Macaca mulatta: one gene and its partner. The main gene of each other region encodes a partner of the protein of the gene in region 2 in a complex. Links are inferred from orthologs where the notes say so. Each region holds a gene or a part of one and is shown on either strand. Other genes may lie near its edges.

Region 1 (3,650 bases), on a different chromosome or scaffold from region 2:
AAACAAATTATCTGTTCAGTTACTTTTAACTCTTTCAGCAATGCCTGAGTCCTCTTTATAAAAACTTCATTCTGCTAAGTGAGCAACCATTCATTTTTTTTGGTTACTCTTCATGTATAGTTTTCTCAAGTGTCCCTTCAAATATTGCATAATGGTATAGACCATTTAATATTCCAAACATAGTCTGAAAGACTAGAGGAATCACCATTAATTTCATTTGTGTTTGACAAAGCCTTATCCAATGGAGTAAAACCCCTCCTTTTGGTGGCAGTGGAACGGTATGATACCTAAAAAGAAAAAAGAGTTAATCACTTCTTCTGGATATGAATGCTATTAGAAGTTTGTTGACTTCTCCTAAACTGATAACTGCCTTTCTAGGTCTATAATGTAGAGAGCAAAAAATTAAAAGTTAGCTATCTGAAATACCAAATGACCACATTTTGATTCAAATATATCATAGACAGCTAAAGAAAAAAGAGAGTTTATTAACCTAAAAAAAAAAAAAAAGTAAAAAAGAAGGAAAAGGAACAACTTACTTAGTTGCCAGACGTCCATTTTTAGTAAAAGCCAAAGAACTGGGATAGAAAACACCACAAACTATGCCGATCAGTGAACTTCTGAAAACACAGTTTTCCTTGCTTATATTTTCTGGAAAACAAAAGTAAATTTGGTTTTCCTTTAAAACTCAAGAACTATTAAGACAGTGTTGTACCTCAGAGTAGTTATCTGCACTATCCTCAACCACAACTAAACCATAGAAAGAATATCAGAAATTCAAACTCTGTGGCATATAACAGGCTAAATGCAGCACATTTAAAAAAGTTTTTATTGTACTTTATCACATAGAGAATTACCTCTAACATATGTGGTTGTTGTAGAAGCTATTTTATTTTTTAGAGACAGAGTCTCACTGTGTTGCCCAGGCTAGAGTACACTGGCATGATCTCGGCTCACTGCAACCTCTGCCTCCAGGGTTCAAGCAATTCTCATGCCTCAGTCTCCCAAGTAGCTGGGATTATAGGCGTGCACCACCACACCCAACTGGTTTTCTATTTTTAGTAGAGACTGTGTTGGCCAAACTGGTCTCGAATTCCTGACCTCAAGTGATCTGCCCGCCTTGGCCTCCCAAAGTGTTGGGATTACAGGCATGAGCCACCATGCCCAGCCAGAAGCAATTTTATAATGACAGAATACTAAACTAGCAGACCAGACCTGGATTCTAGGTTAATACATTTTTATTATCTACTATGTATCAGGAATGTGCTAGGTGCTAGGAATACAGTGGTATATAAAAGACACCTGATCTCTGATGTTCTGGCCAGTTTACAGTAATGAAAGACATGAGATAAATATTTAAATAATTATAAGTGTACACAATACTTTGAAGATAAACTATATAGAGAATGTATCTAGACACCTAATGTACAATGAGGGAATCAGAGGTCTCCCTGGGGAAAAGATACTTAAGCAGGGACCTGAAGAATGAATGATGGATAGAGGCTCTATCAATTACTAGTTGTGAAACTCAAGGTAAGGTGAAGGGCAGGAAATAACATTAAAAGCCCATAATATGACAGATATTGTGGTAGTCATTTAACCTACAGTATCTTTTAATTCTCACAAAATCCTGTGAGGTGAGTACTATTAGTCCTAATTCATAGATAAGACAAGGGAGGCTCAGAGATGAAATTACTTGCTGAATGTCACAAAACTTAAGTGGCAGGAGGTAGGATACTGAAATGATGTTTGTTATATGCCACAGTCAATTCTTTTCCCAGTATGTTGTTTATTAGTGTACTTGAACATGCCTCAGTTTGGGTTGCTTGCTTATCTACAAAAAGAAAAAAATACGATTTACCTCATTAGGAGGACTGTTGCAGGGATTAAATACGACAAGGTATATGAAGGGACTTTGTAAACTGTATAGCACTATATAAATGTAAAGAATTATTATTAGCAGTAGCAACAGCATCTGTTAATCAGTAACTTTACTTAGACAAAACTACATTATACATTAGTGAATTTAAATTCACCTGAATACAAAGGATCAATTACAAGAAGCTTGTAAGTAACTACAGTAGACAAAAATGGAAGTGTAGCCAATGATGCATATGTTTTCAAAGCATCGTGTTTAACCTTGAAGCAGCGTCTGAACAGAAAGTTTGAGAATATTCCAGAGAAACCAGCTGTTGTTCCAAATGACGTCGTTTGATATATATTTGGTGTCCTAATAGAAAAAAAGAAAAATTCAGTTCACTGTAACATTGAACTTAATGGATACAGCCTTTCCTAAAAAGTTGTTATTGCATATTTACTCAATATGAAATACTTCTTGAGCACTTACTATGTGAAAAGTATTTTCTAAGTGCTTAAGATAGGGCAGTAAACAAGGCAAAAGAAAAAAAGAAAAGGAAAGAAATTTCCCACCCCTCATAGAACTTGTATTCCAATGAGAGGACATGATTCTCTTTCTGAGAATATTTACAGTAGTTCTAAAATAGAGCTCTTTTAAATAATTTTGGTCACAAATAAATATAAATATGCTCCAATGTAGCCAAATTTTATGAGTTACCCAAATCGAAGAATACCTTTCCTGCAACTAAAAGATTTACTTTGCTTAAGTTCATCTAAAAAAAAGCTATTTACATTTGGTTAGGCCTTCTATTTCTGCATTAGTCCCAGATACATTTAAAATAATTTGTCCAAGATTTAGAAAATTTCATCCAAAAAAATCTGATCTAGTTTTCTTATTCTTGAACTCCATTCATTTAAACGTCAAAATGGCCAGTCTGGCCAACATGGTGAAACCATCTCTACTAAAAATACAAAAATTAGCTGGGTGTGGTGGTACACGCCTGTAATCTCAGCTACTTGGGAGGCTGAGGCAGGAGAATCACTTGAATCTGGGAGATGGAGATTACAGTGAGCCGAGATTGTGCCACTGCACTCCAGCCTGGGTGACAGAGTGAGACTCTTATCTCAAAAAAAAAAAAGTCAATATGTTAATGTGAGACTGTATTTATACTATGAAATCTGTATTCCCTTTTGCTGTACTAAGTACTGTGGCTGAGATAATCAATCCTTAACTGATTATAATTACTCACCAATTAAATATAAGTACCCCCCCAATGATTTTCTCTTACTTTTAATTAAAATATATTTACTGCACAAATGTTTTAGCAATACTTTTGGATACTTTTTAAGAAACAAAAGAAATTATCCACAATCCCAAATATTCCAACAAACCACTATTTTCATCTGTTCTTGTTTCCCTCATTCTTTTTTTTAAGGATGTGTTCTTCATAACCAACTCAAAGAATAGGATAACAAAGAATAGGATCTCAGAAACAATGGCAATACAAAAGACTTGCAAATAAAATGATTTTCAGCCTGGGTATTTCTCTTACATTTCTTTTCTAAGATAGTCAAAATTTTTTTCTATGATTTCTATGATCATTGGTCTTCTGAGTTTTGCATCTTCTAGAGAAGGACTGGGTTGACCATGCATAGATGCTGTCATCTTGACATCCTGGAAAAAAAAATTCCAGAGCCATAATAGCTAATGATATTCATATTACATAAAACCTTACAGAATTCTACAGATTCAGATTTGAAAACATTTACAGTTTAGTAGTGTGCCAGGTACTGTG
Region 2 (3,750 bases):
GGCAGAAAGGGAAGGTTTGAGGAAGCAACTGTAGAGTCTAGAGAAGCCAAGCAGAATTTGAGGAAGAGGAGGCGGCCCAGAAACTAGTGATGGAGAAAACATGGAAAGGGCTATTGTATTTGGTGAGCTCCTTTGGAACCTTAGAGAACAAAGGTGTTACTGAAGTACATGCTCTCAAATTCACACTGAGCACTAAATTCCCGCCGCTATGGGACATTCTGGTTAAGGAAAAACAGCGCAGTCTGGACCCAAGAAAGCTCACAGCGTGGCGGAGGAAGTGAGAAGTGAGTGAATAATTAAGCTACAGTGTTGATTCTGTCTTCCCTGGCAGCAAGAAAAAAAACCAAACAAACAATGTTTAAGTGCTTTGGCCTGGCACGGTGGCTTACGCCTGTAATACCAGCACTTTGGGAGGCCGAGGTGGGTGGATCATGAGGTCAGGAGTTCAAGACCAGCCTGGCCAACATGGCGAAACCCTGTCTTTACTAAAAATACAAAAATTAGCCGGGTGTGGTGGCACACACCTGTAATCCCAGCTACTCGGGAGGCTGAGGCAGGAGAACTGTTCCAACCCAGGAGTCGGAGGTTGCAGATCGCGCCACTGCACTCCAGCCTGGGCAACAGAGTGAGGCTCCACCGTCTCAAAAAAAAAAAAAAAAAAAAAAAAAAAAAGAAAGAAAAAAAAAGAAAAAAGAAAGTGCTTTACCAGAGGTGTGCACAAGGTACAAACAGATGCCCTGAGGAACTGGCGACCCTGTGGGGCAGGACTGGGGAAGGGCTGGTAGGAGGTGCTGCTGTCCAGGTGCATGGTGGGTCCTCAAGAATTCATGGGGGCAATTCCAGTAGAACCGGCCTCTTGAGGCCTCAGGTAGTTCTTGTGGAGACTGAGGGGACAGATAAGGAAAGAAGGGATACAGGCGCCAAGTGGGGGCGCAGGTGCGTTAGCAATAACTGGGTTCTATAGGAGGCGGGGCGCGGTGGCTCAAGCCTGTAATCTCAGCACTTTGGGAGGCTGAGGCGGGTCGATCACGAGGTCAGGTGATCGAGATCATCCTGGCCAACATGGTGAAACCCCGCCTCTACTAAAAATAAAAAAATTAGCCGGGCTTGATGGCGTACACCTGTAATCCCAACTACTCGGGAGGTTGAGGCAGGAGAATCGCTCGAACCCGGGAGGCGGAAGTTGTAGTGAGCCGAGACGGTGCCACTGCACTCAGCCTAGCGACAGAGACTCCGTCTCAAAAAAAAAAAGACGCAGAGATAGAGTTGCCGCCCGAAAGGATACAGAAAGGAGAGGCGAAAAACTTATCCGAATCCTCACTACTTCCTTACAACTGGCGACCAAGTGGACCAAAAACCTCCAAAAACCTCTGTTGGCTGGACTACCGGGTCCTCGCTCTCCTTCCTGGGCTTCTGTACCCGGCCGGAACTTTAGTGTTCTGACGCCTTGTTTGGCATCGGAAGGGAAAAACAGATGGACCTATAAGTGAAAAGTGGCTTCTGGTTGGAAACCACACTATAGGCTCGGGGAGGTAAGCGGTGGTAGGTCGGCGTTTGATGTGTCCCGGGTGTGGGGAGGCGACAGAGCCCTGGCAGTTGAGGGTTGCGGGGCCTCCCCACCGCGGCGAAGGTCTAGCCTTCGGAGGCCAGGCCGTGAGTGCCGGAGGTAAACGCCAAGGCGGAAGAGTTTTGCCACTCACTACCTCAGTGACCTCGGGTAAATTAGTCTTGGAACGTCGGTTTCCTCGTCTCCATAATTGAAATAATAATAGTTCCTCTCTGAGGATTGTTGTGAGCCGTCAGTGAAACCCTTAGAGCAGTTTCTGGCACATGGTAAGCCGTGGATATCTTTACTAATTCGACTCACTTCTAGCTGCGTGGATTATGTTGTCAAAACCCACCGTCAACCTCAGGGCGGTATTGTTCAGTTAATAGGTTAGATTTTCTATTTACTGGTAGAAAAAAAAAATGAAACAAAGCATTTATAATTAAAGTTATATTACTAGAGAAATAACACTACGGAGGGTTTGCAAAATATTTTATGAGCTATCATTTGTTTCTAAAATTTCTGTATGTGTAGAGGTAAATAATTTTGTAACTTAAATGTGTAAATCATTTAAGTGCAACCGGCGCGGGGGAATTTAAATATTATCCATAATTGCAGGATCTCAGATCAACTGTTAATTTTTCCTGGTTCCTTTACGTTTATAATACATGTGAAAACATACTGTTTACATGATTTTGATTTATTAGCAAACCTTATTGATAATGTCGGCTGGGCGCGGTGGCTCACGCCTGTAATCCCAGCACTTTGGGAGGCCAAGGTGGGCGGATCACTTGAGGTCAGGAGTTCGAGACCAGCTTGGCCAACATGGTGAAACCCTGTCTGTACTAAAAATACAAAAATTAGCTGGGAGTGGTGGCGCACACCTGTAATTCCAGCGGCTCAGGCAAGAGAATTGCTTGAAACCAGGAGGTGGAGGTTACAGTGAGCCGAGATCGCGCAACTGCACTCCAACTTGGGTGACAAAGCTGGACTCTGTCTTAAAAAAAAAAAAAAAAGCTGGTCGTGGTGGTGGGTACCTGTAATCTCAGCTACTCGGGAAGCAGAGGCAGGAGAAGCACTTGAACCCGGGAGGCAGAGGTTGCAGTGAGCCAAGATCGTGCCATTGCACTCCAACCTGGGTGACAGAGCCAGACTCCATCTCAAAAAAAAAAAAAAGAAGGTCGGGCGTGGTGGCTGATGCCTGTAATCCCAGCACTTTGGGAGGCCCACATGGGCGCATCACCTGAGGTCAGGAGTTCAAGACCAGTCTGGCCAACACGGCGAAACCTCATCTCTACTGAAAAAAAAAACAAAAAACAAAAATTAAAATTAGCCGGGCATGGTGGTGCCGGTCTGTAATCCCTGCTACTCTGGAGGCTGAGACAAGAGAATTGCTTGAACCCAGGAGGCGGAGATTGTGGTGAGCCAAGATATCCAGCCTGGTGACAGAGCAAGACTCTGTCTCAAAAAAAAAAAAAAAAAAAAAAATGGATAATGTCATTTTACCTATTGGTGTCTGTATCCTATAGAAAGGAAATATCTACCTGACTTCATAGGATTTGTGTGTGGATGGCATGAGATAATATATATCAGGGTGATTTGAAAGTATTAGGAGTGGGCTGGGCGCTATGGCTCACGCCTGTAATCCCAGCACTTTGGGAGGCCAAGGCAGGCGGATCACGTGGTCAGGAGATTGAGACCATCCTGGCTAACACGGTGAAACCCCGTCTCTACTAAAAATACAAAAAAGAAAAAAAAAAATTAGTCAGGCGTGGTGTTGGGTACCTGTAGTCTCAGCTACTTGGGAGGCTGAGGCAGGAGAATGGCGTGAACCCGGGAGGTGGAGCTTCAGTGAGCTGAGATCGCGCCACCGCACTCCAGCCTGGGTTACAGAGTGAGACTCTGTCTCAAAAAAAAAAAAAAAAAAAAGTATTGGGAGTAGTATTCATCAGGTGCAGTGGCTCATGCCTGTAATCCCAGGTACTCCAGAGGCTGAGGCAGGAGGATCACTTGAACCCAGGAGCTGGAGACCAGTCTGAGCAACCTAGCAAGACCTCATCTCTATCTTTTTTTTTTTTTTAGATGGAGTTTTGCTCTTGTGGTCCAGGCTGGAGTGCAATGGCATGATCTTGGCTCACCACAACCTCCACCTCCTGGGTTCATGCGATTCTCCTGCCTCAGCCTCCTGAGTAGCTGGGATTACA

Evidence for each region.
Region 1: NDUFAF1 (region 2) and TMEM126B share a complex: the UniProt entries of both Homo sapiens proteins name them as parts of the mitochondrial complex. The link is inferred for Macaca mulatta from reciprocal best matches to the Homo sapiens genes NDUFAF1 and TMEM126B.

The regions. Positions count from the first base shown.
Region 1 is NC_133419.1:86,224,825-86,228,474, reverse strand, and holds part of TMEM126B (complex I assembly factor TMEM126B, mitochondrial), read right to left. Parts: intron 3,530-3,650; coding exon 3,408-3,529; intron 2,228-3,407; coding exon 2,034-2,227; intron 649-2,033; coding exon 537-648; intron 288-536; coding exon 104-287; 3' UTR 1-103. UniProt on the Homo sapiens protein: As part of the MCIA complex, involved in the assembly of the mitochondrial complex I. Participates in constructing the membrane arm of complex I.
Region 2 is NC_133412.1:18,746,468-18,750,217, reverse strand, and holds the start of NDUFAF1 (complex I intermediate-associated protein 30, mitochondrial), read left to right. Parts: upstream 1-1,085; 5' UTR 1,086-1,532; intron 1,533-1,574; exon of another isoform or gene 1,575-1,833; intron 1,834-3,750. UniProt on the Homo sapiens protein: As part of the MCIA complex, involved in the assembly of the mitochondrial complex I.